Coturnix japonica: one gene and its partners. The protein of the gene in region 1 interacts with the protein of each later gene in a biochemical or structural test. Links are inferred from orthologs where the notes say so. Each region holds a gene or a part of one and is shown on either strand. Other genes may lie near its edges.

Region 1 (10,142 bases):
TTCATTGTCAGCTCCTCAAAGATTTCCCTCATGTTATTGGGAATAATAATGACCATTACTACATCAAGACGGCTATTAGACAGGTTGAAAGCAATAACTGTGTTATACTGTAAGGTGTCAGGTACAAAGTAAGAACAATAAAAACAATAACAGTATCGGTTTTGCACTGAACAGTTTCAAGTACGCTCTCAAAGGTTACAATGTAAAAACCCTTCCTCACTGCTGTCTTTGCAAGATACAGTGCAAATAGAGTTGAACTATCCATTAACTCACCCAGCTTGCGAGTGCTGGTGCCAGGATAGAAAAAAGACTTCAGAGGCACAGGATCCTGACGGTAAGCAGCATAGTTCTTGCGCAAGTCCCATACTTTGATCACACTGAAATATATGAGTATAGGTGTCTACAACTTGCCAAAAGTCAAACCTTCTTTTGCAGTGCAGACAAAGCCTTCTAAAAACATAGGAAGACAGGCTGCCCATTAATAAGGATTGTTCAGTGATGGCACAATGGAGCAAGAGTGGAGCAGAGCTGAAAGCACATTTGTTCTGCTGGCATGGATGAGGAAGCAGCATTGTTTTGTGTAACTAATACAACACAAAACACAAGCCCACAAGCCAACTTTCCTCAACTAGTAAAAGACATAACAAAGATGCTTTTATATTCCATTTTTTTTAAATGAAGCCCTTTGAGGTTTCTCTTGCTCTCTAGAAGCAAGTCTCTATCATGAACCATGGGATGGAGAGTCAATATTATGTGTCTCAGAAAGGCTCTGGCCACAGTGAAATGTGAAAGACCTGAAAGATTAATCTCTGTACTGAAAAGCAAGATATTTTCCTGAGCTCCAAGATGCTGCAACAGATCTGGCATCAAAAAGAATGTATCCTTTGTAACTCAACACAACATTTTCTCAAGTACACCCATACAAATTTAAAGCCCCAGTCTCCTCCTCACATCCCAAAACAGCTCTCTGCCTAACAATAGTCTGCTTACATTACATACATTACTGCATCCACATTGCCCCATAGCTATACTAAAGTTAATATTTACCATTTAGGCACAGCAGTCTTGGGTAAGGAAGGAAAGAACTATTCAGCTTTGGCAATGCAAGCTGGCAGCAGGTTCTGCTAACTCTATTCTAATACTAGGGATACCCCAAAAGTAATGCATTCTATTTATTATGTCGATTCATGTCAGAGAAGGACATTGGAGTCCAAATGGTGGATGCGAGCACACTGAGGAGGTAAGAGGTATGTTTCAGCAGTGGCGACAGCAACAGTGGGTCACCTCTACTGGTGCAGATACTTATGAGCACAGCATGCAGGATCCTGCTCATCACTGGGAAAAATGCATAGCTAATGGCAGTGACTATGTTGAAAAGTAGTGTTTTGTAGATGAGAATTTGCTCTATCAAATAGTGTTACTGTGCTCTATGTACCTGTTATAGTTTTCATGGAAATAAACAGGAGGCATTACTTTTGGAGCAATCTATGTAGTAATGGTAGCTTTGTGAGCCACTGTGACCTTAGACAAAGAACCTCCCAATCTTTCTGTGTCACTAAGAAAAACAAACAGAAAAGCATGTATCTTCCTTTCTTACCCATCAACAGCTCCTGCAGAGATAAGGGTATGTTCATCTTGAAGCAGCACCACAGTTACACTCTGCTGGAAATCCTTGAGGAGAGAAAAAAGAACTTCGTTTCCTTTCATGGTCAACAGAGTCTTGCTGCTAAGCTGAAGGCCAAGTGAATATTGAGGACACCACCTCTCCAGCAATCTACACTTTTCTTGTCCATAGGCCAGCCTGTGTTTTGCTCTACAATTAGCCTGAGCTTCTCAGGCTCCCTCCTGCTAGAGTCTGCTTTGTGTTCTCCAGCAAGTTGCTCATTGCAGGCAGGAGAAGGTGGAAAACTAGATTTCATTTAGGAGACAATAATCCTTTAACCCTGCTCAGCATTGTGGTTAAAGGACCACAGGAATTGGTCAGCATAAGATTACACCTCACAGGTCAGAAAAAAGAGAGTTCCATGAGAGCATTTAATAGATGGAATAAGAGATCTTATTCAGGAATGAGAGGCTGTTGTTTATGTGGTCACATTTGGGAGGTGTACTGTGGAGGGAATAAAAAGGGAAAGAAAGGAAAAAAAATTGGAGCCCTTCCTTTCCCACCCTTCAAAAGCAGAAAATGTAGCCACTCATTTTCTCTCTGGAAAAAACAGATGTATTTTCACATGGTATTTACACAAAGACAGCTCTGATGGCATGTAAGTTATTAGAAAACAATGTCTAAAATTAGCCAGAGCAAGTGACCATGACACAAAAACCTAACTCCGCAAAAACAAATTAGAGTGTTTACAGAATTCAAGCCAAATATTTCTCACTGCAATTACTTAGGAAAGCCACTATGCATGACACTGTCCTCAGAGCAGAGGTCTCTGTTCTGCCTGTCTTCCTGGCACCTACCACTAAGGGAGCAAGTCCTCTTGTGTTCTGCCTCTTCTTCCTCAGCTTGGAAGGAGTCTGCTTGTCAACCACGTTGTGTGCCCCACTGATTTGATTCACCTGCCTGTAAAATCCATCTGAAAGACAAATACATACAAATTGTCAGTTTCCACACCTATTTGATTTTGCCACCATTTTCACGTTAACGGGCAGCAGCTTGGAATAAATCCTAAAAAGCAGCTGAGACAAGCTTTCAAAATCAGTAATGTATTCTGAAAACATCAACTGCTAGTTATGTACCAAAATGATGAGACACATTCCAGAAAACTGCGGGTGGCAGGGAACTGAGAAGTACGAGGGCATGAACTGACTGGTGAGGGAGAAGCTCCAGGAAGCAGAAGAGTAGAACCATCACCCTGCATGTAGGCGTTCCTGCAACACATTCAGTTTCTCCCAGGACTCACAATCTCCTTTGCTCCTTCCTATTCTGGTAGGAAACTTTCCAGCATTGATTAACCCCCTCCCAATGACTCTGAGTGAATCGCTCTCACCCAGCCCATCTCAGTGTTGTCCTACACAATGATGTGTTTTGTACCACCTTATCTCTTAAACAATACACAGGGTTATATCTGGGCAACACAGACATCAAGCTGCCAATCTGAGACAAAGTGAAAAAACCTGTTAGACACAGTCTGATCTATTCTACCTATTCCGTCCTCTCACTGTACTAAAGCAGTACCTAATTACCTGGCAATCTTCTTACCGAAGTATCACCTATCTGTAATCAAAAGCATGACTCCAGTAAGTACATTGGAGCACTATTTCTACAGGAGCTAAGGAGCTTTATTAATACATATCTGAAAGTTCAATTACCTTTCTTGTTGCATCTGGTGTCCCAAACCATGATGTTTCCATCTCTGCCTCCAGTACAGAAAACAGCTGAGAGAGAGAGAGATAGAGCACTATTAATTCCCAAGAGCTGAGGAACTGAATCCAGCACAATGCCATCTATGTGCCCCTAGAACTACAACAATCAGGCCTTTGGTGTTTTCTGTCTAGATTCTTTATGGTCTTTCCTTAGTGCTACTGTAGGAAAAAGTGCTTACAAAGAGTATTTCCAGATTTATGTTTGTAAGTGAGGACTGAGTGACTTCAATGCCATGTCTTAAAACTGCCTGAGATCAGAGACACGCAGACAGTATCAGATCACTGCAAGGTTCCAACACTACTTAGGTCACTGCTCAGCCCACCTGTACTTTGTGCAACCAACAGATTCCAAAGCCCTTTTTTAGCCCCGTAAGAATAGAAGTGGTAATTGGAGAGAAGAAGGGGGAAAAAAAGACAAGAAGAAATGCCAACATTTACCTTTCTCAAACCTCGAAAAAGCAACTGACTTGAGGCTACACTGGTGACCTTTGCATATGCCAAGCAGCTCCCCAGCTCTCACATCCCACACCTTGGCTGTCTGATCTCCTGAAGCAGTGACCTTCAGAGGATAGAATAAAAAGCTTTCATCATATTCTGCACGCCATTGCCAAAACATTAAGAATAAACTTAGATAGGAAAAGGCTTCTTACAATCCTGTGCTCTCCTGGTACCCAGGCAAGATCAAAGACAGCATTTGAGTGAGCCTGCCATTCTGACAAGAGAACAAAAGCCAAAATTAGTTCAGTGCATATGTCCAGTACAGCATGACAGTATTTTGCAGGAGGCTAACAAACATCAGACATCAGAATCCGAAAACAGGTTGCTCCTTTGTAGCTTCCCTCAGGCAAGGCAAACACTCAACCATTCAACTCCCATTGCTTTTGTAAGAGCACACTCACACGGCTGCTTTGTAAACAGGACTCTGCAAAGTATATAAAAAGATGCAAGTACTTCCCAGATTGAGTTTAAACAGCCTGCATAAAGCTTTCCTTGATTCCAGCGCATCCCATACTTCAAATGAAGATCACTGAACACTTACCCTTAAAGATCACTTTGGTGGTATTCTGAGCTTCAGTATCATACAGTCTGACAAACCCTTCTTCATTTGCAACTGCCAATATGTGCTCAAAATTTGGGGCTGAAAAGAAAATTGAAACGTAATCATCTATTACAAGGCTGATCCACAATTGTGCCTCTTCCCTTTGTGAGGGGAGTACAGGCACTTTAAGTGGGGTGCACACCTAATGGACAGCTAGAAAAAATAAAGTAACATTTACACAGTGATCTCCATTCTCAAAATGCACAAATATTGCCAAGCATTTATTTCTAGACATTCCGTTCTTAAACTGTAGTATATAGGAAATAGAGCGGGTCAAGGAGCAGCTTCTAAGACAATGCCCTCTTTCACCAGCACTGATGGAAGTTCCTTTCCTCTATCTTTATGACCTGTCCGTCCACTTGGATGTTTCCCAAGTGCTTTCCTTGGAAGTGAGATGGAGGAGCAGCCTTGGAGAAAGGCCTTTAGGGTCTGATTGCTGGATGGTCCTGCACGGAGCCAGGACTTAGACTCGATGATTCTTATGGGTCTTTTGCAATTTGGGACAGGTCAGCGATTCTGTAATAACCCCATGGCACAACCAGAGTACCACACAACAGCGCTCTGCCCTAAAGGTCTCCAAGACCTGCCCAGGGGCCCCGGGCAACCTGATCTAGTAAAGGTGTATGTTTGGTGGCCCTGCCAGGCAGGGGGGTTGGAACTACATGATCCTTGAGGTCCCTTCCAACCCGGGTCATTCTGTGATTCTGTGAAGACCCAACATGTAGGACGTGGAGGTGCACGTTCCCTGTTATCAGCACACGCTAACACTGAAGCTTGCCAAAAGATCTTGAAACATTCAACAGAAACGAGTTTACAGCGGGACCCACACACCGCGGCATCCCAGGATGCGGCCGTACCTGAAGAAAAGCTGCATCCGAAGGGAGGGACCGGCATTCCGATTTCTCCGTAGGAGAGGTGATCATCTTCCCTACTGCACCTATAGCCATCCAAGAGATGCTGCAGTGGAAGCGGTGAGGACTGACCTGAAACGAGACAAGCGGACCGTGACTGCACCGGCCACCGCGATCTGGGAAGCGAAGGGCCCGTGGGCCGCACACCCCGCTCCCAACTGCCGTGCGGGCTCCCTGTACGGCAGCCCCCGGTGCCCGTAAGCTCGGTACTCACGGTACTCGCGGTACTCACGGTGCCCGGCGGCACGGCGGAGCAGCGCGCGGCACAGCATGGCCGAGAGCGCGCGGAACGCCACCAAACTCCCGCCACCGACCGACCCGCCAAACGCACCTCCACTCCCTCATTGGACAACCCGTGGCGCGCCGCGCCGCCCTCTCTCCGCTCGGATTGGTCAGCGGAGGAGAGGCGGGGCGGGAACGGCTGTTGGCGCGCGTAGAGGAGTGCGCGTGCGCCGCAGGGTCGGTGTGGCGGGAGGGTGGCCGCGCATGCGCGCTGGGCGGCAGCGGGGTTCGCGATGGCGGCGGCGGGGAAGTCGTTCCTGGCGGACGCGGGGTACGGAGAGCAGGAGCTGGACGCCAACTCCGCCCTCATGGAGCTGGACAAGGGTGAGGAGCGGGATGGGGGAGCGCGGGGATGGGGTGTCGAGAGAGGCCCGGTTGGTGCCGCTGTAGCAGTGAGCGTTGTGGTGCTCTGTGCAGGCCTGCGGTCCGGTAAGCTCGGCGAGCAGTGCGAGGCCGTGGTGCGCTTCCCGCGGCTCTTCCAGAAGTATCCATTCCCCATCCTCATCAACTCCGCCTTCCTGAAGCTGGCCGACGTGTTCAGGGTCGGGTGAGTACCGTGCTTTAGTTCCGCTAGAGGCAGTTCTGTGTAGGTGCCTTCGGAATCGTAACAAATAAATGAATGGCCCAATTCTGCAAGTCCCATCTGTGAGGAAAGTGAATGCCTCAAGTTGAGCTTTTCCGTGTGCCCTGTGCCGAACCGAGCCGGGTCTGCTGTGCAGCTGCTCTCAGTAGCACACAGACAGTGAGCCAGCAGTGCGCTCTGGCAGCCCGGAAAGCAAATGGGATCCTGGGCTCCATCAGGAGAGGGGTGGTCAGCAGGGATAGGGAGGTGATTGTCCCTCTCTACTCGGCTCTTGTGAGGCCCCATCTGTTGTACTGTGTCCAGGTGTGGAGCCCTCAGTACAAAAAAGACATGGAGATTTTGGAAAGGGTCCAGAGGAGAGCCACGAAGATGATCAGGGGGCTGGAGCACCTCCCCTATGAGGACAGGCTGAGGGAGTTGGGTTTGTTCAGCCTGGAGAAGAGAAGGTTGCAGCCTTTCAATACCTGAAGGGAACTTACTCCCAGGAGGGGAGTAAGCTCTTCGAAAGGGCTGACAATAGCAGGACTAGGGGAAATGGTTTTAAGTTAAAAGATGGAAGATTTAGGTTGGATGTTAGGGAGAAGTTCTTCACTAGGAGAGTGGTTAGGTCCTGGAACAGGCTGCCCAGGGAGGTTGTGGATGCCCCGTCCTTGGAGGTGTTCAAGGCCAGGTTGGATGGGGCCCTGGGCAACCTGATCTAGTAAAGGTGTATGTTTGGTGGCCCTGCCAGGCAGGGGGTTGGAACTACATGATCCTTGAGGTCCCTTCCAACCCGGGTCATTCTGTGATTCTGTGATTTGTTGGACCCACATTCATTGTATGTTATTTGTGCTGTGAGGCAGTAAGAAATTTGTCACTTGTGCTACATATAGCAGTGCGTTCATATTCTATCCTTAACTGGTAGCCTGCTTGAGCCATTTCTAAAGCACAGAGCTTCTTTGTTGTGATTAAATATGTTTTTCGTAATGCATTTAGTTTAGAAGTTTTTGAATCTGTATTATCAAACAGCTCAGTAAAGATAAACGTGTGTCTTCTGATAGGAACAACTTCCTGAGGCTGTGTGTGCTGAAAGTTACGCAGCAGAGCGAGAAGCACCTGGAGAAGATCCTCAACGTGGATGAGTTTGTGAAGAGAGTTTTCTCAGTGATTCATAGCAATGATCCTGTTGCTCGGGCTATCACGCTTCGGTAAGTAGCACAGAAGTGAACCTAACTTACTTCAAAGCTGTAGCTCTTTTATTGGTGTGCTAATCTGTTCTAACAAAATCAGCTACTTCTCAGAGTGTAGGAGCTGTCTTCCACATTCATCATAAAGGCAAAAGCGGGGACATCTCATAGGGAGTGAGCAGGAGATGTGTAAGTGGAAGAACAAGGTTTTTGCATGCTTGTATTTGTGATGTGAGAGTTGTGCAGATGGCTCCAGGTGAGATGGGAATCCAGTGGGTAGAAAAAACCACACTTCAAGATATCTTTAATGTTGCTGTCCTGCTGCTTTGGTCTCTGTATCTCTAACAGTACCCAGCATTATAATCTTTTCTTCATCTTCCTTCAACTCCTGTGTGACTGAATTAAAATGTGAACAGAGCACTCCTTCTCCCTTGCTTATTCATTTCTCCTATCTATTCAGAACTGTTTCTGTTCTCACTGTTGAAAGATGAGAGTCATTAACAGAGGTTTGGTTTATTATCTCACACACCCATTTCTTTTTATATTTTTGAGATTATGGTTTTATGCTTTAGGATCTCAAAAAAACAAATGATGAGAGACTGATGTTTGTTTGCTTCATTATAGTCACTCTCTAGAATTTTCCCTTTCTTAGTATGTAGTTAATTTTGACTTCTCAGACATGTATTGATTCAATTTGAAGATTTAATGGGAAGAATAGAAAAGGTAGAAACAACTTTGTAAATGCTATTTTAATTCTCCTAAACTACCAAAATGACTGACTTTTAAATCGCATGATATATATTGATATATATTTGTGTATGCGTGCAGTAATGCATTTTAGCATTAAATCTGTTGCGCTGATATCAGAGCTTGGGCACAAAAGTGTCTTTAAAAATGGTGTACCCCATGCCATGGTGTGCTCCTCACTTTATAACAATTGTTTTCCACTAATGATACTCCAATATGGTTACTTTTTTGTTGTTTGTTTTCATTAAATGACTAACAGAAGGCTGATACCAGCATAATCATGTTTTAGCAATATGCCTGCTGTCAGTGTGTCTTTGTTTCTGTAGTGAATGTAAAAGAGCCCTCATTTATATAAAAGCCAAGACTTTAAGCCAGTCCTTCTGTGCTTCCCTTTGATTTCATCTTGCATTACTTCATAGTCAGTCATTGTGCTTGCTCCTTTTCCTGATCTGTGTCTGTAGGATGTTGGGCAGCATGGCGTCTATCATTCCAGAAAGGAAGAATGCACATCACAGTATTCGCCAGAGTTTGGATTCCCATGATAATGTGGAAGTTGAAGCTGCTATTTTTGCTGCTGCCAACTTTTCTGCACAGTCAAAGTAAGGTGGAATTTTTTTCTCCCCCGTTTTTCACATTGCAAAGAATAACAGCTCCACTGTTGCTTACTGAACTTAGTATTTTCTTCAGTGGTGGTAGAACATCCTTCACAGCTGTTATATGTCATGATAATAAGTGTAAGGAAGTCTGAATTCGAGTCTAAAAAAACCTATGAAACTTATTTGAAAGCTTCCATTTTATTATTTGATTATGCACCTGTGTAGGGATTCTAAAATAACTAAGTTTTGGCAAGCATTCTTGTGGTGGTTTTTATTATTAAAATTCATTGTTTGGTTCTTCTGTTGATTTTTTTTTTTTAGCCTGTTTGCTTTCATTTCACTTGGTGCTTTGTCTTTTTCTCTACAGGGACTTTGCTGCAGGAATATGTAACAAAATCAGTGAGATGATTCAAGGTATGTACAAATACTGAGTGATGATATCCAGGGCTTCTTTTTTATACATAAGTATATAAAATACCTCTATACCATTGCCCTTACCCCAAATAATGTGTGTCTTAGTACCAGAAAAAGCCAGTACAATAGCCTGACAGTGTCTCTGTTCCCTGTTACAGGTTTAGCCACACCTGTGGACTTGAAATTGAAGTTGATCCCTATTCTACAGCACATGCATCATGATGCTAGCCTGGCCTCCAGCTCCCGGCAGCTGCTTCAGCAGTTGGTAACATCATATCCTTCCACCAAGATGGTCATTGTTACTCTGCACACGTTCACTCTGCTTGCTGCTTCTTCTTTGGTTGACATTCCTAAACAGGTAATTCTTCTTTCAAATGAATCTACAAAGCATGTTTAAAACAAAACAGGGATTATTGAGGATAAACTGTGATCTTTATCTTGAAAGACTGAGTCTATTGCTACAGCTTATGTTTTTAAACCAAGTCGTGAGAAAGCATTGATGAGCAAAATATAATGCTTTTATGTTTAGATAATGGGCTTTGTGATTATGATTCATATAGCAAGTATGAATGCACAGTGACATTTGAGGTTCAACTAATTATAGTAAAGTCATAAAAATCTATTGACCTTTTAATCCATACATTTGTGGCAGGCTGGTGTCTATTTGACTTACTGCATTGATTTGTTTAAAACTTCTTGGGATGGCTGACTTTCAGGAATAGTACTGAATTTGAGCTAGCTGAGACAACATTCAAGCACTTCACATGCTCTTTATGAAAGTAAGCATGGGCTTACAGGCTGTATTTCTGCAACACAGCCGCCTATGTTGTACATATAAATCAGATAGCCAGGGTGTGTGGATTTCTTATTATTTTTTTCTGAGACAGAGTGTATATCTGTGCTGCTCTCTGTTGACTGCAGATCATGCAGAAATGCCTGAAATACTTGCTACTAGTGTAATCGTGACAATGCAAAGTG
Region 2 (10,178 bases), on another chromosome or scaffold:
CTGCTGTGCTGCAACCAAGCGCTGCATGTCCTTATCTCTTGCATCCAGTGCTCGCTGCAGCACTGCACAGTGCAGGCGGCTCCGGGCCGTGCTCTGTGATGGCAATGGGAACATCAGCACCCAGTTGGGTTTGGGGTGCTGGGTAACTCAGGTTAGGGGTGGATGGATCCCCCACCTCCTGCTCCATTCGCTGCCGTTCCTCTTGGATCTGCTGCTCCAGGGCCTCACAGAGCTGCTGCACCTCCTGGTTGTGCTCAGCCACACGCCTGGTGGGGGGGAGGTGGGAGGTTGGGAGGGTCAAACTGTGCTATATAGATGTGGGTCTGGGGACCCTGCAGTGCCCACCAGACCCACAGACAGCCCGGAGGTTCATTCACCCAGCAGGGCCATGGGGTGCATGGCTGTAGATAGAGCCTAAACATGAACATAACATGAATCCTCTGTGCTGGGAGGGTGCATTTCTTCCTCCTTGGGTGCACCTCCCTGGCAGGGACTCACTTGTTGAGGGTCTCCTCCAAGGCCTCCTTCTTGCTCCGGACTTCTTGGATGCGGTGCCTCATCTTGGCCAGGAAAGCCTCCAAGTTACCCATCAGTTGGGGCTCATCCTTCCTCAGCTTGGCCCAGAGCTGCCAGATCTGCTGCCTGCCGGGAGAGAGGAGCAGGGCAGCAAGAAAGGATGGATCATACGGGGGTCCCTATGATAGGGGATGTGTGGTCCTGGGGGTAGCTGTGCCCACATGGGCACTAAGCTATGGGAAGCACCCAGGGGTGCTCAGCTGGCTGCTCACTCTTCCCATCTGTCATCCACTCCCAGCTGCTCCATGAAGGCTGCAAAGTGTTTCTTCTCCTCGCTGTCCATCTCCTCCCACGTTGGGCTGGCGAGGACCAAACAGCTCCTCCGTGATGCTGCTTTCCATCTGCGATGATCCCTACTGATTTTTTGGGAACACAGGAACTGCCCTGCAGAAATACAGCCCTCAGCACCCAGATCTCAATGCTTCCAACCCCATGTGCTCACAGCCATGGTGCCCATGAGCATCCCCATTGCAAAGCACTGGCTGCATGGAGTCACTTACGGAGCCCAGAGGTGAATTCCTCAATGCTCAGCTGCCCGGTGCCAGCAGCATCCATCCCATCAAAGAGCAGCTCCAGCTCCTCTGTGCTGCATGGAATAACCTCCCCCTGCAGTTTCTAACAACAAAACAGATCCATAGGACGGCTGGGTTGGAATGAACCCCACAATCTCCCCCAGCCCCATCCCTTACCTGCATATCTCCACGAGTGACGAAGCCCTGTGCATCCCCACGCTGCTCCTGGATGACATCCTGGACTCTCTGCATCACAGCTGCTGCCCAGGGTGGTTCTTCACCCGCATCCTTACGGAGCTGCCGTCTCCGGCTGGATCCCATCCGCCGCCCTTTGGAGCCCACACGCTGCTCAGCCATGGCTCACAGTGGGGATCTGCTGAGGGCAACCAGAAACCCATTAAACAGCCCAGAAGGGTGAAACCTGAGTGGGTTTGGCAATAGGAAAACAGGCACTTCTCTCTGCTTGGATGGCACAGTGCAGGGAGGTGGGGGGTGATGGAGGCTCCAGGAGCTCCTCAGCATCTCTGAACATCCCTCCTCCAGCTTTCACAGCCCTGAGTCACCTCCTGTGACCTCGGGGAGGTTTCTATTCACACCCCCACCTCGACCTCATGGCTCTGAAATGTGCCCAAATTGGGACTAGAAGTGAGAGAGGGGGAACCCCCCACATTGTCCCACCCTTCCTCTGGCAATGCCAAGCCCTAAAGTGAACTGGAAATAAGGAATGGGCCCCAAAATGGTCCCCATCCCCTTCGACTCCCATGCAGCACCACCCCACAGCATCAGTGGGGGGAGGGGACATCCTATGAGGTCAGCAGAGCCCCAAGGAAGGGGAGGGGGGGGTCAGGATGCGGGTTACCCCCATTCTATGGTCCCAGCCCCTCTAAGAGCCAAAGCAGCAGCATTTAGGGGGGTTATGGGAGAGGTTATGATGCAAGAAGTCCCCTCGGTGCCTCCCCCTGCCCCACAGAGCGAGCGGAGCCCATTGCGTGCCATGAAACAGAGGCACCAAACACGGAAAAAGCTGTAAAATAAACACCAAAGGCACTTCAACACTGGCTGCTGTCTGAGATGCTTCCTGCTGAGGGGCAGCCTGAGGGTCACCACTGATGGTTATAGGGCCAGGCATCAGCCCTGCATCCCTAACACCAAACCCCCCCTTGAGCAAACCTTACCTTCTCCACGTGCTCTCAGTTTTGGGGTGGTGCTGCCTGGTTACACTGTGGGGCTCCCCAGGGCTGGGGGGTCATCAGCCTCACACAGCCTGCATCGCTGCTGTGCACCTCCCGGCCCCACACCGTCATTCTCTCTCTTACTCAAGGCAGCCTTCCGCTTTGGGGTTGCACTCAACTGCCGGTACGTGCACACGTTTCCTGTTTGCAGCACCACAAAGGGCTCAGCAATGGATCCCAACCCACCCATAGACCCCAACCCACAGCAGGAGCCCCCATCCCTGTCCTGCTGGATCCATCCCACAGCTGGACATCCCAAACCCCCCCACAGATACATCACAGCTCCTTCCCCACCAGCATCAAACTGCACCTCTGTGGCTGCACCCTTAAAGCAACCCCCAACCCACACATAACATCCCCCCACCCCCCATAGCACACCCCACAGCAGTCATTCCCATTAACAGCCATTCCCATTAACAGCCACCCCTTCTCTTTCCACCAGACAAGTGTTTATTCAGTTACACTCGCAGACAAACAGGTTCTTTCCCCTTCCAAGAAGCCTTAAAACAGTGTTTTCATAAATAAACATTGAATGCTGGGCACTTGCCAGCATCTCTGACAGCAAAGTGCATCACGGTATGAGCTGGGAGCAGCACCCTCCTCCTCTACATGGGAACACCCCGTGCCAATCCCAATCCCAATACAGAGAGGGGGAAACCAGTGAAAGTGCTGAGATCCGACAGCACCCAGAGCAGGGCTGTGTCCTATAGGGCATCCCTGGGTCACAGAGACAACAGCAGGAGCCAGGTCAGGCTCTGGAGTAGGAAATAGTCCAGGAGAAAAGCTGGCACTTCTTGCAGGGGCAGCCCCTGCTGGCAGTGCCAAGCAGCAGCTCAACATCCAGCTTAATGTCAGCATTGCACGATGCACAGCCAGCCAACACCACGCCAAGAACCCAATGGGGCAGCACAGCCTGGAGCAGCCCAGTGCCTCCCGAGCTGTGCCGGCCTCAAGGGTACACACCTCCAAGTACATTTGTCACCACTGTGTGACCAACACATCACTGAGTCACACTGGGAGCAGCTCCATGCAGGGCTCACACCCAGTGATCCACAGCAGGGAGGGCCATGGGGCTGCTCCATGAGACAGCAGGATGCTGCTGGGCAACACCAGCACGGGGCAGGAGACACCCTCAGCCCCACCTGCTCCATTCCAGTCCTTAGTCCTTCCCGTGGGCTCCTCCTATACATTGCACACAGCATGGGCCACTCAGGACCCCAGAGCTACTCATAAATAGGGAACTATAGACTCGGTATCGCTTTGTACAGACAGTGCAGGGCAGGGAAAGAGCCACGACAGCCTCCAGGGCACGGCAGCATCAGCATCCATCCCCAGCAGCAGTCACAGCCTGGGCTTGTCATGGACGACTCTTCTCTTGGAGCTGTAGAAGTCTGCAGGGCAAGAAGAGAAGTTGGGATGTATCAGGAGCAGAAGGAGGGGGCAGCAACCCAACCCCAACCCCAACCCCAGCCCCAGCCAGGTGGGCTCATAGCTTCAAAGCCCCGCATTTATGGGGCTGTGCATCACTTGGTCCCATCACATCCCCACTGCTGAGCCACTTTTGGGCCATGGGAACTGAGGTTGGTGATCCATATGGGGGTATTTTTTACCTATGGGACACCCGAGGCTGGTTCTGCTGCCTCTCCCCTCCAAAGATGGTTCTGTGCTAAGGGTGGTCCCATGGCATGAGGGGCATCCCCCCTCCACCACTCACCTTTAACAGTGGTCTGCCCCCGCTTCAAGTGCTGTGCAGAACCGACCCTGGTTTGCTCCGAGCTCTGCTGGGCTGCCCCACAACGAGCCCCACCGACACCATCCTTACTGGGGACCCTGCGTGGTGCTGAGCTCCCGTTGCTGCCGGGCTCTACCCGGGGGGGCTGCTCGGCCATCAGGACCCTCTCCCACTTGAAGTGCCCATCCAGGGGCGTCTCCGTCTCGAAGTTGAAGTTCCAACGTCTCTGAGCTTCTTCCAGCTGTTGCCTCAGCAGCTCCTCGAAGTCGTTCCGGATCTGTTCGTGGTCCACGGGGCCGAAGAGGTTCCTGCACGCTTTGCTGCTGCACGGCATCGGGCCGGTCCTGCTCTGCGCCAGCGGCATTGCGGCTGTGGGGAGGGGGATATAGAGGGGGGGATATGAGTCCAGTGCATATAATGGGAGCCCCCAGGACCCCTGGGGTGTTAATGATCTCGGCTATAGGGCAGGCTGGCACAGGGGGTCATTGAACCCGGACAGAACTGCGTTAATAGATGAGGGACCGCTCTGCCCCCCCCCGGGATGGGTCACTTAAAAATAGCCGCTTCCTATCAGCGGGGTGAGCTCAGAGCAAGACAAGTCCCAGCATGTCCCGGTCCGACCCGGTCCGGCCCACAGGAGGAGCGGAGCTGTCAAAGCCCCCCCGACCCCGTCCCCAATCACCCCCCATTGGGGTTTCTCTCCCTTCCCTTCTTTTCCCCCCCCCAGTACCGACACCAGCACCGCACTCACCCCACACTCCCCGTCGCTCTCTGCGGTTCCCAGCCCCGCACTCCGCCCTTTATATCGGGGCAGGGAGGGTGGGAGGGGCCTCACGGCGTCGCTCGGGATTTCCCCCCCCCGCCCCACCGCAGAGCAGCTGTTATCGGGGGGGGGGTTCAGTGCCCCCCCCCATAGGGCTGCACGGACCCCCATATGGAAAGCGGGTCGTCGCCTACTGTGCGATGCGGGACCCCCCCCCCCCCCATACAACGCGAAGGATGCGGGAGGGTCTTCAATACGGCTTTGCCAATTGAAGAGTAAAAAGGGCCCCTCCTGGGTCACCACGGGATGCTGCAATGATGGGGAGTGACGGGGGTTGGGGTGGGGGTCCTATGGGACCACCCCTGGGTGCTTTGCCCCCGAGGTGGGCTCTGCTCTACCAGCGGACCCCCCAGCAATGCAGCTGGGCTGGGGAGCTCCGGTTGGCCTGAGGTCAGCAAGCAGCAGGAACAAGCCCGTGCATGTCCTGCATGCAGCAAAGCTGCGGGTTGCATGCAGGGACGTGTGGCCCCGCTGCAAAATGACCCCCCCCAAAACACAGCAGGGGAGGTCTGAGCGCTGTGCAGCTCCCCGTCAGGGTTACAGCACAGTGCCAGGGCTCAGCTGGGTGGGCTGCAGGGGGCATAGGGGGAAGGAATTGGGTTTGGGCAGCAAACAGTGCTTGGGGTGCAAGGAGATGGCAGCACAAAGGCAGGCGGTGCACTAAGCTGGGTGAGCCTGCAGCTGGTGGGCTGCAGCTGAGCCCTGCAGTGTGCAAAGCCCCCCGTGCAAAGCCCCCCAATGCATCCGTTCCCAGGCTGAACCAGCATTTCCCAGCAGATAAAGGATATGTTTGGACATGTCCGGCTGCAGGCAGTGCGTCACACAGCAGTGTTGTCCAGCATCAGTTCCTCCTGCAGCTCTGGGCCAGGCCAAGGTGGTCGCTTTGGGGTTGGATCCTTCTGGATGTGGGGTGAGAATGAGGCTGTCAGAGCTGGCAGCTTCTTGAAGCTGATGGAGGAGTGTGATCTGCAATGATGACTGATGGAGGAAGAGCAGGAGCGATGCTGCAGTGAGGCAAGAATGAAGCAAAGCGATGTGAGATGAATGCAATCGGTTTGGCTGCATCCCAGGGGGAGCCAGCACGTGGAAGGGCAACCTCTGTGGTGTGCATGGGGATAGGATGGGATGGAGATGGAATGGAGTTGGGGATGGGATGGGGTTGGGATGGAGGTGGAATGGGGATGGGGATGGGATGGGGTTGGGAATGAAGTTAGAATGAGATGGGGATGGGATAAAGTTGGGATGGGATAGGGTTGAGGTGGGGTTGGGATGAGATGGGGTTGGGATGGGGATGAGATGGAATGGGGTTAGGGATGGAATGGTGTTGGGGATGAAGTTGGGATGAGATGGGGATGAGATGGGGTTGGGAATGAAGTTGGGATGGTGATGGGAGGGTGTTGGTATGGGCTTGGGATGGAGATGAGATGGGATGGGGATAGGATCAAGTTGGGATGATGATGGGGTTGAGGATGGGATGGGGTTAAGGTGGGGATGGGATGAGGTTGAGATGGGGATGGGATAAAGTTGGGATGGGGTTGGGATGGGATGGGGTTGAGATGGGGATGGGGTTGGGATGAGGTTGAGATGGGGTTGGGATGGGTTTGAGATGGGGTTGGGGTTGGGATGGGGTTGGGATGAGGTTGGGATGAGGTTGAGATGGGGTTGGGGATAAAGTTGGGATGGGTTTGAGATGGGGTTGGGGTTGGGATGAGGTTGAGATGAGGATGGGGATAAAGTTGGGATGGGTTTGAAATGGGGTTGGGGTTGGGATGGGGTTAAGGTGGGGATGAGATGGGGGCAGGGATGGGGTTGGGATGGGATGAGGATGAGATGGGGGTGGGATGGGGTTGGGATTGGGTTAAAGTGGGGATGGGATAAGGTTGTGATGGGGATGGGGATAAAGTTGGGATGGGGTTGAGATGGGGATGGGGTTGGGATAGGGTTAAGGTGGGGATGGGATGGGGTTGGGATGGGATGAGGTTGAGATGGGGGTGGGATGGGGATGGGGTGGGGTTGAGATGCTGGTGTGGAACCAACTTGCAGAGGAAATGGGAAGTGGAGAGAGGAATAGCGTCAGGGTCTGGGTCAGGCAGTGCGTGGTCGAGTCTGCAGTGGCATCATCAGCAAAAAGGGGGAAAAAAAAGTGTGATTAATGCGGAAAGTGATACAGGAACTAAGGAAAAGCCCAAAGGTGACTCACAATGTTCAGTCCCACAATGCAGGGTAGGAAGGTCCAACTGGGGACCAGGCAGGATGGGAACCAGGAGCGGTGCTGGGGGCAGCGCTTCCTTCTCCCCTCTGGGTGCAGCCCCACATCAGAGCTGTCACCCCCCAACCCATCCTCACCCATTACAAGGGCTGTCCCAGCTCCCCATGGCGTCACTGTGGAAGAATCCCTCCTTGACAAATAGATCCTAAGGGCTGATAGCAATAAAAAGGGATATACTCAACGAATGTAAATCTTCTGTCTTCAAAGTGCCTTCAAAGTGCACTGAAAAAAAGACAGGATGTTTGTTATCAGGGCTGGGAAAATCCTTTGGGAGTGTTTCCTATCCCCAGGTAGGTCCCAGTGGATGCCGAGGGCAGAGGAAGTAGCGTCAGACACAGACACGTATGCAAACATTATTCACTGCATGCAGGGAGCTGTGAGTCAGCCCAGCTCGGTGGTGGAGTTGCATGCCCAGGCACAGCTCTGATATGGAGTTTCGTCCTCAATGGGGATGCAATGAGCAGCACCCCGGTGCTGGGGGCTGGATGGAAGGCAGCAGTGATTGAGCTTCTGGTGGTGCTGGAAGGTGCAGTGAGACACGGGTTGATGGGAAGCACAGCGTTCCCACTGGATGGATCCACGTAGAGGGAAGATGAAGGGCTCAGACAGACGGGCCCCTTTGTGCCAGCCGGGATGATGGAGGCAGTGACACGCTGCTACTCTTCAAGGCACCGTGAACTCAAGCTCTACAAAAGCCTCCATTTCTGCCCAACCTGATAATGAGGGGACTGAGATCACCGTGTCTGTTTGTTGGCAGTTTTTCCATGCCTCCATACAAAGCCCCTTTGACCAGTGCTCCCAGCAAAGGGCCCTTCTGCCCCACAGCCCTCCTGCCCTGTGCTAGATCTGTGACACAGAGCCTTGGCACAGCTCCCTGAGGAGGGGCTGGGGCTGAATCCATCCCCCATAGGGCACAAAGCAAACAGTCCCCCTCCTCAGTACCCCTCAGCACTGAGAAACCACCAGGCTCCAAGCAGCAGAGCTCCACGTTCACTTAAGATAAGAGCATCACTTTGGATAGGGGCAGCATGGGGATCCAATGGGGACCAAGCCATAAAACAACACCACAGGTATCCAGTCCTCAGCAAGATGCACATCTCTATGATTTCTTGTTATCTCTGCTAACAAGCTTTTTTCTTTCAAGGGGGGGGGACACATGAAGGCTCTTCATGGAACACTCACGCTCCAGCAGAAGTCTAAATGAGCCCAGTGTTCAGCTGAATGGCGTTTAGATCCCGGCGAAGGCTGTTTTCCCATCAGCTCTTTGAAGTGCCCAATTAAGTGATTTTATAACTAATAGGATTTTCCCAGGAAAGAAAGACAAGAATGACAAAACGCTGAATGCTTGATTAACTCTGCCCCTAAAAGAACTTGGATCGTGTTAATCGACTGTTTCCCTGCCATATACAGCCCTTGTTTGCTCCATTTATGAAGGCATTTTGATGAGACACCGGACCCAGCAGAGTGGAAATAGAGTCCCAGCAAGCACCAATTGTGGGTGAGATGGTCCCTAAAACAAGGCTTCGTCCTGGAAATATTCCTGGAGCCGAGCTATGAATTGTTTGCTTCATTCAGCCCCTCACTCATTTTCATCCAAGATTGTTTTTAGCCCCATTCACAGTCATTAACGTAATTGCTTCACTGACTTTCCATGAGCGGCTCCGGAGCTTTGTGCTGTTGTTTTGTTTCAGCTGGCAGCAAAAGGGCTCATTGTTCCTCGTGGTTCTGTACCTGGCTGTGGGTTTGGGTGGTTATTTACTGGCTGCTCACGGGGTGCCAAATTCCCATTAGATGAGGAGGGCTCCAAGGATGGGGCCGCTGCCACCAGCAGAGCCTGGTGCAGCCAGGAGGGGTGAAGTGCAGATCTATAGGCACAGCTCTGGGCCCTTTTACATCAACTTCTTGCAAAGGGAGAGATCAATCCAGAAGGTCCGCAGCTTCCTGCCTCAATCCAGCCCTTCCTTGCATATGGGAGAAGCTCCCTGTTGGGGTGGCAGCGGGTAGAGGACAGGGACTGCTCCAGCCCCACCCAGCCCTTCTGCATGTGAGCATCCCTTCCAGGCATCCAGAAGCACGGAGTGTGGGTCGCTGGTGCAGTGGGAAGCTGATGACCCACATCGCCTCCTCCCAGCAGACAACACAGACCTTTGCCTTTCTGCACAGGCCGTGGGTTTGCCTGGAATCCACCAGCAGCACAATCTGGCCCTTTATAGCCACACGTGTTCCTATGGAGGGCAGCTGACTCACGGTGCCTGCCTTCAGAGCCCTGACCCAGCCCAAAGCCATCAGACAGGAGCAGTGGCTGCATTCATCACGCCCTGGCTGTGCCTACACGGAGCCTTGAAGCCTGGCTCTGCAGGATGTGTGCCAGCCCACTACAGCACTGTCTGGCTGTATCAGCATCTCAGTGCAGGCAGGCAGACTGCAGAGCTGCTGCAGAGCCCCGGACAGAGCAGGACATGTGAGCATATCCTCCTACAAAGCCATGAGCAGCAGTGTGACAGCTGTCAAGGTGTGGCTCAGTTACACTTTCTTTTTCTCATGTCTGCCCCCTCCCAGCAGTTCACCCATAGTCTGCGCCTCCAGCAGTGCTGATATGTGTGGTGGAACGCTGCCCAGCCCCACCAGAGGAAGATGAGAGTTGGGGGTTTCCTGGTACTCATATAAACCCTTTTCCTTTTGGTTTCCTGACTAGTTTTTCTTCCTTGTTTATGAGAATCCATATGGATATCAGGAAAGGAGATTTGCTGGGTTTGGAGGTGCTGTCAGTAGTGAAGCAGTGCCCCGTGCTTCACCAACCAGCATTGACCCCACACAGAACCCTCCTGTCAGCAAAATGAGTTTTATAGGACCACGAGATTTACAGACAACCAACTGTAATATGCAAGAAAAGGAGTAGGAGGGAGAGAGGAGATGAAACAGGAAGCACGAAAACCTGACAGTGTTCATAGAATTGGTCTAAAACCTCTCCACCAGTTCATATCCAACCATCACAGTGCAGCCATGAGCTCCCAAGCAGGACATTTAACCTGGC
Region 3 (10,279 bases), on another chromosome or scaffold:
CTTTTTGAGAATCACTGTGCTTTTAAGAGCTAGACTGCATAAACAACACATAGTGTCAGCACTGCTGTTACCTTCATTCCTTCTTCTTTCCCACTTGTAATTAGTTCATCGATTTTCCTCCTTTCCTCGGTCTGAGGAAGTAACAGGACAAAAAAACAAGACCAAGTTACTTGTTGACAGCTTTTGCAATTCATTCCATAGCTAACAGGAAATGATTGGCCAATGACATTCAGTTTTTCCACGCCATCCCTCTTTCTAGCAAAACTAAGTTGTAAAGAGATAGAATAAAGAAACATCTCCCAAAAACGCATTATCATTTTGATTCCATCCTAAGAATAACTGGACCAATATTTCTGTATTTAGTAACATTCTTAAACAATACTTCCAGTGAACATTTGCTACCACATTAAGTACTGTTATTTCATCAAGAAGCACTACCTCCAGTTCAGATTTGCTCTTCCTGGAACTTCTTCTGACTGGGTAATAATCTGTCACTTTTCGATTTGGAGCTCTTCCTTGTGTTCTAAGGAATAACAGAAGCAGGAAACACACATTTTAAACTACTTCTGAATTTAAACCTCTAAAACAGGTATCTAAAAATATACATGTTTTTAAGCTTATGTTAAACATTGATCAGTATGAATCTACATTCTTGCCACTACTCTGCACTCCAAGCCAGAAGCTATATACTCTATTACTAATCCTTTTACCACAAGAGAATGAGATGCCACTAAAAAACACATTACAACTTTGAAGTCTCCCCACGTGCCTTCCCAGAAATGTAGGTCATTAAAGCTGCTTGGCCATGAATTCATTAATGTTAGGTTACATTATTTCATTAACATGAGTGAATTTATCAACTCAGCCAGCACTCCCCCAGCTACAATAATCTAACATCGTGCTTCTGACAAGATAATTTGTCCACAGAATAAGTCTTAATGGTTCATAAATTAGTTTTTCTTGCCTTGCTCACTTGTAAAATAGTCACCTGCAAGTCCGATGCATAATTTGAGCACTATTTTGTATTTTTAAATACACTCTTTTTAAAGAAAAAGAATCTTCTTTAAAATCTGTCACCCCAAAAGAGGAGCAAAGCAAGGGAAACAATAATTCCAGGTCTGGCTATAGGTATTTGCCTCTGAAGGTAAAACATACATAAGGGACCCCCCAGTGCAAAACGGCCCAAAGCAGAAAAGCCTCTACGGTTCCAGAAGTCACTTACTTCCTCCTCGGTCCACGTTTTGCTTTAACCACCTTTTTCTGAGCTGGCTTTGCACTGGCCTCACCAGCACAGTCTGAGGGCAGGAGTGTCTTCTCAGTTTCTACGGTTCCTTGGTTTTTTTGATCAGAAGAGAGCACGGAGGTATTGCACCCACTTTCTTTATCTTTCTGGTCTTCTGGTTTCATAGCACCTTCAATTATATTGCCACCAGGCTTTTTTTCTAGTGACAAAGAAATAAAGAACAGCTCTGAATTCAAGAGCTTCTACACCAGAGCACTCTTACATGGATTCCAATAGTTTCTATTTCAAGTTTCTAGTTCTGTCAAATAGGAGAAAGAGGAAGGGAATAAGTGATACAGTCTCTTTCTGCTAAAACCCAGGCAGACTGTCACTGGATTTCCAAGTAGTCACTGCTATGCTATGTATAGAAGGAAGTACAAGAAGAGAAAAGGAACAGGTATAAACAAGAGCAAGTACTTTGTCACAGGTTAAAACAGCAGTGAACCTAACTTGAACTCACACCACAGTCAGTGGTACAAACACAACCTGAGTTCTCAGGTTGCTACTAAGGAATCAACAACGTGCCCTGAAGGAGCAGAAGTCTCTGCACCCCACACTGCTGCAATCAGTCACTGCAGAAGCTGGTGCTAAGGGGCCCATAGCATTCAGACCAATCCACAGGAGCAAAAGGGCAGACACATGAAAAAGGTCTGTTACATTTTCTTGGTTGAGCATATCCTACCTTGAGCTGACCACATCCTCCTCAGCTGTCTGACTTAGAGGTAAAGAGACACATCTTAAAGCTGAATAAAGTTTAAATTTAAAGCCAGTTATCAGGTTTAATTCCCTTGGGCCAAGATGGGTGCTTCAATCTCACTAGAGAAATGAAGCACTGCTGAAAGGCCACTGCTCCGCTGCAGGGAAGCCTAAAGCCATCTTAGTTTTCTTGGTGTAAGCTGGGAGCTACAGCCCATATGTTTCCCAGTGCTCAACAGGGCTTCAAACATCTACTTGCAAATGCATTTGAATCAAAACATTTTAACAAGTTACCACACTTAACAACCACACCTTTAAACACAAACCAGCTGTGGGGTTTTTGTTTGTTTTCTATAATCACCTGGTAAATCTGTGACTTCAGTACTGAAAAAGATAAGGACACCATCATTCTTGTAGACTCTATTTGCTGACAGAGGTGAAGGATTTGGGAAAGCAATTGGGGCAGTGGACCTGCCCAGCTCCTACAGCTCTAAAACTGGGGGCGGGGAGGAAAGCACATCTCACAAAGCAAGCGATCTGAATATCAATCTTACCATCTCCTTTTCTGTTGGTTTCAGTTAGTGCTTTGCCCTGACATTTCCCTTCGTGATACATGACAGAGTTTTCCTCTTGAAGTGGGGAGCGAGCACCAGGAGATTTGTTGGGATTCAGGTAGCTGTAGATTTTGGATTGACCAGTAAACGCATTCTCCTAAAACAGATTCACATACAAAGCACATTACAGAGATGCTGGGAGCCTCCAGTTGGTATCCATAATGTACTGCAAAGACCAAGGCTGACAGCTGACTGCACTAATGCGAGTTACACTGCTTTAATACATCATCCTTGCTACCACTGCTATTTCTATGACATGAAAAATGTATCTAGATTAAACATCCAGAACTTTACTAATGCAAAACTGTCAGTTCAAGAGGACTTTCACGTGCAATGTAGTAGGACAGGATAGCCATAATGAACACCAGTTTCTACCCTGTGAACCCTGAGCTTCTCAAAGAGTGCAAGCCAAAGAAAACACCAATAACAGCAGAAACTGCCCAAGCTTAGCACATACCTCACATAGCCAAGAAAGCATGAGCTTACCCAAGTGCTTATTAGGTGTCAAACGTTACTGCAATTAATGATATGTTCTACTGAGCAGCACACAAGATAGCTTTTGGAAATCCATCTCATTGAGGTTTGGGAGATGAGCAGTACTATCCTTTTATCCATTATATTGTATAAAATGGAGTATTAAAATTGCTGATGGCATAAGAAACTCTGGCACGGTCAAGCAGCACAAGGCTGAGGCTCAAAATCTGGTTCAGGCTGAAGACCCCAGCATGGAGGAGCACAGATACAGCAAAGCTTAAAGGAGTTGTGACACCTCTGCTTTTATGGTACTCTGCAACCAGGCCAAGCTTGCATGTATATGTATGTTGGGCACAGGGATTTGAGCTGGGAGGCCCCAACGTCAGGACAAACAGACACGGCTTGGTCAGAACAAGCTCATCCTGGCTGTATTTTGACTCAATAAAAGCACTTACAGATACTGCAACTCAGTTGAAATAAAAAACAACCAAGTTCCGCATGTATTTTCTTTTAAAACATTCAAAGGCTCCCACTGGATAAGAAGAGTAAAATAGCTCAAATACAGCCATTAGACTAAATAAATGCTCCGATATACCTCATCACACCAGAACTAAAGAAGTAAACAAAACACACAGTACATAAGAAAGTTTTAATTAACAAAAACGAGTATCAGAGTACACAGCTGACACACAAAATCAGATCAGTTAAAAGCTTCAGTAGGAATTAAGATTACAGCAGAACACCCGGGGAAATCAGACAGAGCTTTCCACTCTCACAACGAGATAAGTCCATCAGAAATGATACTTATTTCCAGAAGCAGAGCTTTAAGGATGACGTACAACAACGCTGGGTTTTAACAAACACAAGCAGTGAAACCCAGACTGAGAAATTCTCGCTGTTTAACAGGAGCTCCACATCCAGCTGTCTCTCCTGGAGGGCCAGCAACAATCCCACCTGCCCAGGGAGCTTCGTGCTGTGGGCACACGCTGACAGAGCCACAACAGCACGTTCTCGGGCCGCTCCTTTCCCCGCTCAGCCCCCGCCTGCAGCGCGGCACTCCCGGCTGCCACGTCTTTGTCTGTGCCAGGGTTCAGAGCCTCCACCACACGGATTTTCTCAGCACAGCAGCACGCATTAAGGGCTGCTGAGGATCTCTGGGTGTTGGTGCAATAGCCAAGATTCACCCCAGCTTGGTTTAAATACAAAGGGAAGACCAAGATCGGGCCTGATGCCTCTATGGGAGATAGAGGACAGCGGGGTAACAGAGCAGGGCAGCGCCCGGGCCCAGCCACTGGCTGACAGCAGCTCCCGCCGCTCTCAATGCGGTGAGGACGCACCGAATCCCGCCCCGGTTCCGAACCCCACAACGGGGTCGCACCCACAGCGGGCACCGGGAGCCCGGACGACACTTACCCCACCGGCCCGGGATCGGCCGGGGCTCTTCCTGTCGTTATTCTCGGGGCTCGCCTTGTCCGCGCCGCCCGGCCCGGCCTTGGGCATGTTCCTGCCTAGAAGCGAGGAGGGCAGAGCGCCATGTGAGCCGTGTCCCGCGGTCATGTCCCGTTCCCCGCGTCCTGCGCCATGTTTAAAGGTCTCCGTGCGGCGGCCCAGCCCCTTCCCGTTGAGCTGCGCGCACCGCGCGGGGGAGGAGTCCCGCCAGCTCCGTCGCTCCGCTCCTCCCGGGAGCTCTATCCGCAGCCCAGCACCGCCCGGTCCCGTACCAACCCCCGGCCCTTCCCCACACACCGCCACCCCCCATAGTAACACGCCCCGCCCCGTTACCCGCTCACCTTTAGCCATGCCGTGGCGGCGCGGCGCCCAGCAGCCCCCGCCGAGCGGCTCCCCCGGCACCGCCAACCGCCCCGCGGGGACACGCCGCGCCGCCTGCCGCGCTCCCATTGGCTGAGCCGTTTGTCGGATAACAGCTCCCGCGCAGCTGATTGGTGCGCAGAGCCAAGCCCCGCCCCCTTGGCTGTCAGACTGAAGACAGTGCGAGCTCCCGGGGACGGGGTTTAAATGTGCGTCCCCTGGACGCTGATTGGCCCGTGCGAGGGGCAGCGGGAGCGCTGATTGGCTGCCCCGGGGAAGAACGCCCACCGATTGGCCATCGCATTGGTGAAGTACTTTATCCCAGCACTATGGCAGCAGTGCAGGCATTACTTTCGGAGCGACCAGCGTCTATTAAAGCAATTAAAGGCCGCCACCAGAGGGCAAAGGAAACTGAACAACACTCAGCTCTACGGCAACAAAGGAAACCGGGTCACTCTAATCACTCTAACCGGCCTGGGCTGCCCAGCCCTGTGTAATTCTGTGGTAATTCTGTGTAATAGCAACAACTCACCTCTCCCAGCCGAGAATGACCACAATCTGCTGCTTTTTGTTCTGTTTTAAGCAGATTTCGGGGCTTCTCACGCTTTCCTTTGATTTTACACTCAAACTCTTTGAAATTGTCCTTCTAGAAGCACGGCGACACTTCAGGGCTGTTTAACACAGGTGTCAGTGAGGGCTGCCATGGTGAGAACCGCCCTGCAGATGTACAATGAGCTGAGGAACCATGTTCTCAGTATTCAGCTGTTTGCAGCACCGATGGTCACATCAGTGGCCATAAAACACTCGTCAGGACAAAGCCGTGTTCCACAGGCGTCTGTTCCCCACACAGCTCCATTGTCCCCTTCCTTCTCCTCAGGACAAGTGAGGTAAAGCCGGCCCCGAGGTGCTGCCAGCACAACGAAGCACTCAGAGCTCCCATCTGTGTGCAGGGCCCAGCTGCACAGCTGCACACAGCTGCACACAGCACCGCTCCAGCAGCACCACCCACATCCGTTCCGGGCCTTAGATCCGCCCATAGCGGAGCACGAACCGCCCGGCCGCGGGTCCCCGCCCGCCGCCTCACAGTGCGCATGCGCGTGAGCATCGCGCGCCCCTTCAGCGCGGCCTCAACCCGCGCATGCGCACTACGCGCCCTCACGTCAGCTCGCCCCCTTTTTTTTCCCATCGTGCCTCGCGAGGAGGCAGATCTCGCGAGAGCGCCGCACCCTCGCCGCGGCCGCCATCTTGGAGAGAGCGCGATCACGTGACCGCGGGCTGCCGTTCGCCTCCGCCTTCCCCTCCCCCACCCAGCGGGAACCGGGACCGGATCGTCCTTCCCCACCGCGGCCGCCACCCTGGAGCCGTGCCCGGGCGCTCAGACGTCGCTTTTGGAGGATGCCGGAAACGCTCGTTGGCATCGCTTTAATGACGATTTTGTTCCGGAATTAGCTGCCGAGGAGGCGGGACGAGAAGAGGAGCGGCACGTCACGTGATGGCGGAGCGCACGGAGAACGCGGCGGGACCCGGCAGCGGCGGAGGGAGGGGGGGAAGGACGCGGAACAGCGGCGGACACCACGTGACCTCCTAGATCGCCCGAGCGTGGGGGGGGCCGCGGGTCACGTGGCACGGAGCGCGCGCCAGAGGCGGGTTGGGCGTCACGTGGGTGCGGCGCGCGGCGCTGTCACGTGGTGCGTGGCGGCGGGCGGCCCCAGCCCCCTCCCTTCCCCCTCCCTGTGAGAGGGGAGGGAGGGCCAAGATGGCGGCCGGGAGTTAGAAAGCGGCGAGCGGCGGGGCCGGCGGCGGAGACTTCGGGGACCGGCTGCGGGAGGAGCAGGCACCAGAGAGAGTGAGTGAGTCCGGCTCCGTCGTTCCGCCCGTTCGTCGGTTCCTGGGGTTCGTTTCGCGCTGTGGGCGGCCGCGGTGCCCCGGGGCTCGGTTCCTCTCAGCGCGGTGCGGCCCGCGGGTCGCTCTGAGGCGTGTGGGCCGCGCTCAGCCCGTGCCCGCAGCTCCTCCCGCTCCTCCCGCGGCTCCTGTCGGTCCCGGCTCTCGGTGGGTCGCGCCGCCGCCCCCGTTCGTGGTCCCCGCTGGGCCGGGTGCGGGGGAGGCCGCGGCTCCTCGGTTCAACGCGAACTTCGTGGGCCGGGAGGGATGTGGCGGTTGTGGGGGCGGCTCTGTGCCTGGTAACGCCGCTCACGGGCCGGGCTCGGCCGTTCGCCTTTGTGTGCCCGTTTCGGGGTTATGGGGTGGAACGGACCCCGAGCGGAGCTGTGGGGGGGGGAAGGGGCCGGGTGTGTTCGGTGCCGTTGGGCGCTGCCGTGCCGGGAGGTTCTTCACCCTTCCTCGCGATCCTCATAACCGGGATCCGAAAAGGGAGGAAGGGCTGAAAACAAAAGTAGTGCACGGGACACAATTACGCAGCCAATTCTGGCCCCAACCCGGAAGTTTATGTCCGGAACACGTGTTGGTGAGACTGCGGGCTGCGACCCTCCGGCTGCGGCGGCGGCGGTTCCTCGGGCACGGCCGAGCCCCGGGGCGGCTGTTGGGAGCGGCCGCAGCCTGAGCCCCGCCGAGCGGAGCGGCCCCAGCCCTCGGACAGTTGTAACGCCGAGATCTCAGCACACGGGGATCGCCGGGTGAGTCGTGAGCAGCGTTAAAACGCCCCGATGGTCTGAAGGCGCTGAGAGCGGCCGCGTTGGTTTCTCTTCTGTTTCTCCGCTATTTCGTTTTTAGTTTCACCTGATGGCGTTGTGTGCCTTGAGGTTGTAAGTTGGAGCTCTTGCAGTTTGATAGCCTTGCTGTTGGTGTTTGATAGCGCGGTAATTGAAAGGCTTAAAGAGCAGTTGACACAATTTAGTACATCATTCCAACAGTCAGTGTTATTCTTTTAGGAAAAAAAAGCTCTAGTTAAGAATTAACTCGGTGCTAAACTTTGAAATACCTGAGTTGTCTGGATTAAAATGACAGTGAAAAATACGTAAATGTTTTACAATCTTGTTTTTTTTTTCCTAAATTTGAAGCCTTGAGCTCATGATGTAAAGCAAAGAATTTACTATGGTAGGAATACAAACAATATTATGTTCAGCTTATTTGTCCTGATTCTTCCTGGTACATTACATTAATGCAGTACTATAGTGCAATGCTTTAATACAGTCTTAGAATTAAAGCATGGGGGGTTTGTTTTACTGCCAAGCCAGTTCTTGGGAGTCAGAAGTGGCTGCTTGGAAGTCTGGGCCTTCGGCTCTGCCTGCAACTGACTCCATGGAGAGCTGAGGAACAGTTCTGCTGTTCCAATGCTGTTATTTTCTGATGTGTGGAACCTATCAGGGTAGAAATCCTGTTCTGTGGGATTGGGAGCTGGCAGCCCTTACACTGAAGCTGTGGTTGTAGCATGAGGTTCAGAGAGCTGGGGACTTCTCTGTTGTTCTTAGTACTGCATTGGTATTTGAATGGTATCTCAGATGGCTTCCAGTGGAGTTTGAGACCTGTGTTCCTCAGAAAGCTAATAAAATAGAACAAGAGTTGATTAACAATGTTACTGTCCCAGTCCAAGCAATGGAAGCCAAGCCTGCAGGTTCGGGTTCTCCAGAGGCCAGTTTGGTTGTCTAAAGTATTTGGCCATGACCATATTGTGGTGCTGGTCATGTTCCATTTGTGCAGTTATAGCACTATATTAAGGTTTATAGGTAAGTTCTTCAGCTGTCTAATGTTGTGAAGTACAAATGGCAGACTGAGGACTTGAAAACATTTTCATAGCTCGAGATTCTGACATGTTTTTTTTCTTGGAGGAAGTGGGGAACAGGTTGTTTGACATGAGCTGCAGAACGTCTTTTGTTTTCCTTCTTTCTCCCAAAGCTAAAATGGAGGGAGGGGGAGAGCCAGGTTGGCATGGATACATGTCATAATATTAAGCATGGCATTCTGGTTTTGTTTCTTTAAATCCGAAGTTATTTACATAATACACAGTATAATGAAACTGTCATTTGATCAAAGTTTCAGGCACTGTTCTTTGGTTGTATAGGACCTTACAAAACATGGGGTTTATTCTAATAGCCCTCCTTGAAAAGGCAGCAGCATCTTTCTCTTAACACAAAGAAAATAGCTGGGATGTGGCTGCTGTTGAAATGTTATAAATACGTGTTGTTTAGTTTATCACACAGGTTGGATCTTGCTCTGTGATACAGAACGGCCTGAGGAGACGCAGCCAGCATTGCCTGTGAGCTCCTGCTTGCTCAGAGCAGTTCTTCCACTGGTGAAACGCTCAGGGAACAGCTTGTAATATTCACAACTTTTGTTATAAATATTTTCTTCTGGGGTTCTTAAAAATATGGCGTGCAGGTCCTTTATATAGTATTGCCAGAGCTGAGCTGCGGAGCTTGATAAAGTTGCTTTCGCTTCTGTTAACTGAGAAGCCTCCTACCTTGCAAGATTATGGGGCTGTTTCAGCTTGATAACAGTTGAGGCTCCATTAGTGCATGGCACAGAAAATAAACTACAGAGGTGCTGCTTCTGCTGGAACTTTATCATGTCTTTGCTGAACCAAAAGTCTATGTAAGAAAGTAGTGGAAGGGGTGGTGGTGTGATGGGGCACAGAACTTTCCCCAAATCGGGTGCCAAGAATTCAGTGCTTCTAATGTAAAAAATCTAGGAGTTGAGAATTGCTTTTGTTCTGGTTTGAAACAATGTCACTTTGTTCATGGCATACAGAAACAAAATAAATGAAACGAGTTAGTCCAACTTTCCTCCTCTGGGCTGTCTGACAGATGAGCAAACAATTGCTGTTGTTTCTCTTAATGGTTGCTAACGATCCAGCCAAAACCAATTTTTAAGACTGTGAAAATAGAGGTTGGGATGGTAGAAATATATCTGGAGGTTTCCTATGCTGTGTTAGGGAAGTGGTGTCTCTAATTGGATGTACTCTGCAATTCCAGAGTTACTATCCCAGCCTCTATTGCTGCTCATCTAGCATAAATTTAGAAGTTGTACTTGAATTACTTGCTTCAATGAGCGATTTTTGGGGTTTATTTGTTTGCAATATTGTAACATTTTTTAGGTGCTAAACATGTGATTGAGGTAATGTCCAACTTGACTTCAAACAGTCTCCACAGGTTGTGGCATCATCTCAGGACAGTTGAAGATGCATTTCTGGCTTTTTTTCTTGTGCTGGTTTTGCTATGAGATGGGGACTCACCAAATCCTTATGTTGCAAGAGAGACTGAAAGTTGTTGTGTTCCTTTGTCTTTTTGCTTTAAGTAAGCAGCCCCAAGCTTGTGATTTCCCACGCCTGTGTCCTGTGTGGAGGGGGGTATTTATCCCTCAGCCCAGTCCCAGCCATGCCTCCTTCCACAGATAACTGGAGCTACATGCAGACTCAATAATGATGCAGCTGGCAGTGTTTTTCGTTTGT

What was found.
Region 2: of the proteins of DTL (region 1) and CDKN1A, one has a biochemical effect on the other in vitro, tested with the Homo sapiens proteins (3 studies listed by BioGRID, with this or other methods). The link is inferred for Coturnix japonica from reciprocal best matches to the Homo sapiens genes DTL and CDKN1A.
Region 3: the proteins of DTL (region 1) and KMT5A form a complex in vitro, tested with the Homo sapiens proteins (2 studies listed by BioGRID, with this or other methods). The link is inferred for Coturnix japonica from reciprocal best matches to the Homo sapiens genes DTL and KMT5A.

Annotation. Positions count from the first base shown.
Region 1 is NC_029518.1:19,446,931-19,457,072, forward strand, and holds the start of DTL (denticleless protein homolog), read right to left. Parts: upstream 5,726-10,142; 5' UTR 5,649-5,725; coding exon 5,591-5,648; intron 5,449-5,590; coding exon 5,323-5,448; intron 4,505-5,322; coding exon 4,406-4,504; intron 4,079-4,405; coding exon 4,017-4,078; intron 3,926-4,016; coding exon 3,805-3,925; intron 3,379-3,804; coding exon 3,313-3,378; intron 2,577-3,312; coding exon 2,461-2,576; intron 1,672-2,460; coding exon 1,598-1,671; intron 378-1,597; coding exon 274-377; intron 1-273. Other genes in the region: INTS7 (integrator complex subunit 7), read left to right, coding at 5,892-5,982, 6,076-6,205, 7,282-7,428, 8,616-8,753, 9,118-9,164, 9,323-9,522. UniProt on the Homo sapiens protein: Substrate-specific adapter of a DCX (DDB1-CUL4-X-box) E3 ubiquitin-protein ligase complex required for cell cycle control, DNA damage response and translesion DNA synthesis.
Region 2 is NC_029541.1:1,944,221-1,954,398, reverse strand, and holds CDKN1A (cyclin-dependent kinase inhibitor 1), read right to left. Parts: upstream 4,926-10,178; 5' UTR 4,804-4,925; intron 4,422-4,803; 5' UTR 4,417-4,421; coding exon 4,035-4,416; intron 3,712-4,034; coding exon 3,662-3,711; 3' UTR 2,753-3,661; downstream 1-2,752. Other genes in the region: RAB44 (ras-related protein Rab-44), read right to left, coding at 1-93, 176-266, 499-642, 789-960, 1,077-1,191, 1,266-1,445. UniProt on the Homo sapiens protein: Plays an important role in controlling cell cycle progression and DNA damage-induced G2 arrest. Involved in p53/TP53 mediated inhibition of cellular proliferation in response to DNA damage.
Region 3 is NC_029530.1:4,252,769-4,263,047, forward strand, and holds the start of KMT5A (N-lysine methyltransferase KMT5A), read right to left. Parts: upstream 4,971-10,279; 5' UTR 4,966-4,970; coding exon 4,857-4,965; intron 4,575-4,856; coding exon 4,480-4,574; intron 2,690-4,479; coding exon 2,533-2,689; intron 1,443-2,532; coding exon 1,223-1,442; intron 524-1,222; coding exon 439-523; intron 132-438; coding exon 72-131; intron 1-71. UniProt on the Homo sapiens protein: Protein-lysine N-methyltransferase that monomethylates both histones and non-histone proteins. Specifically monomethylates 'Lys-20' of histone H4 (H4K20me1).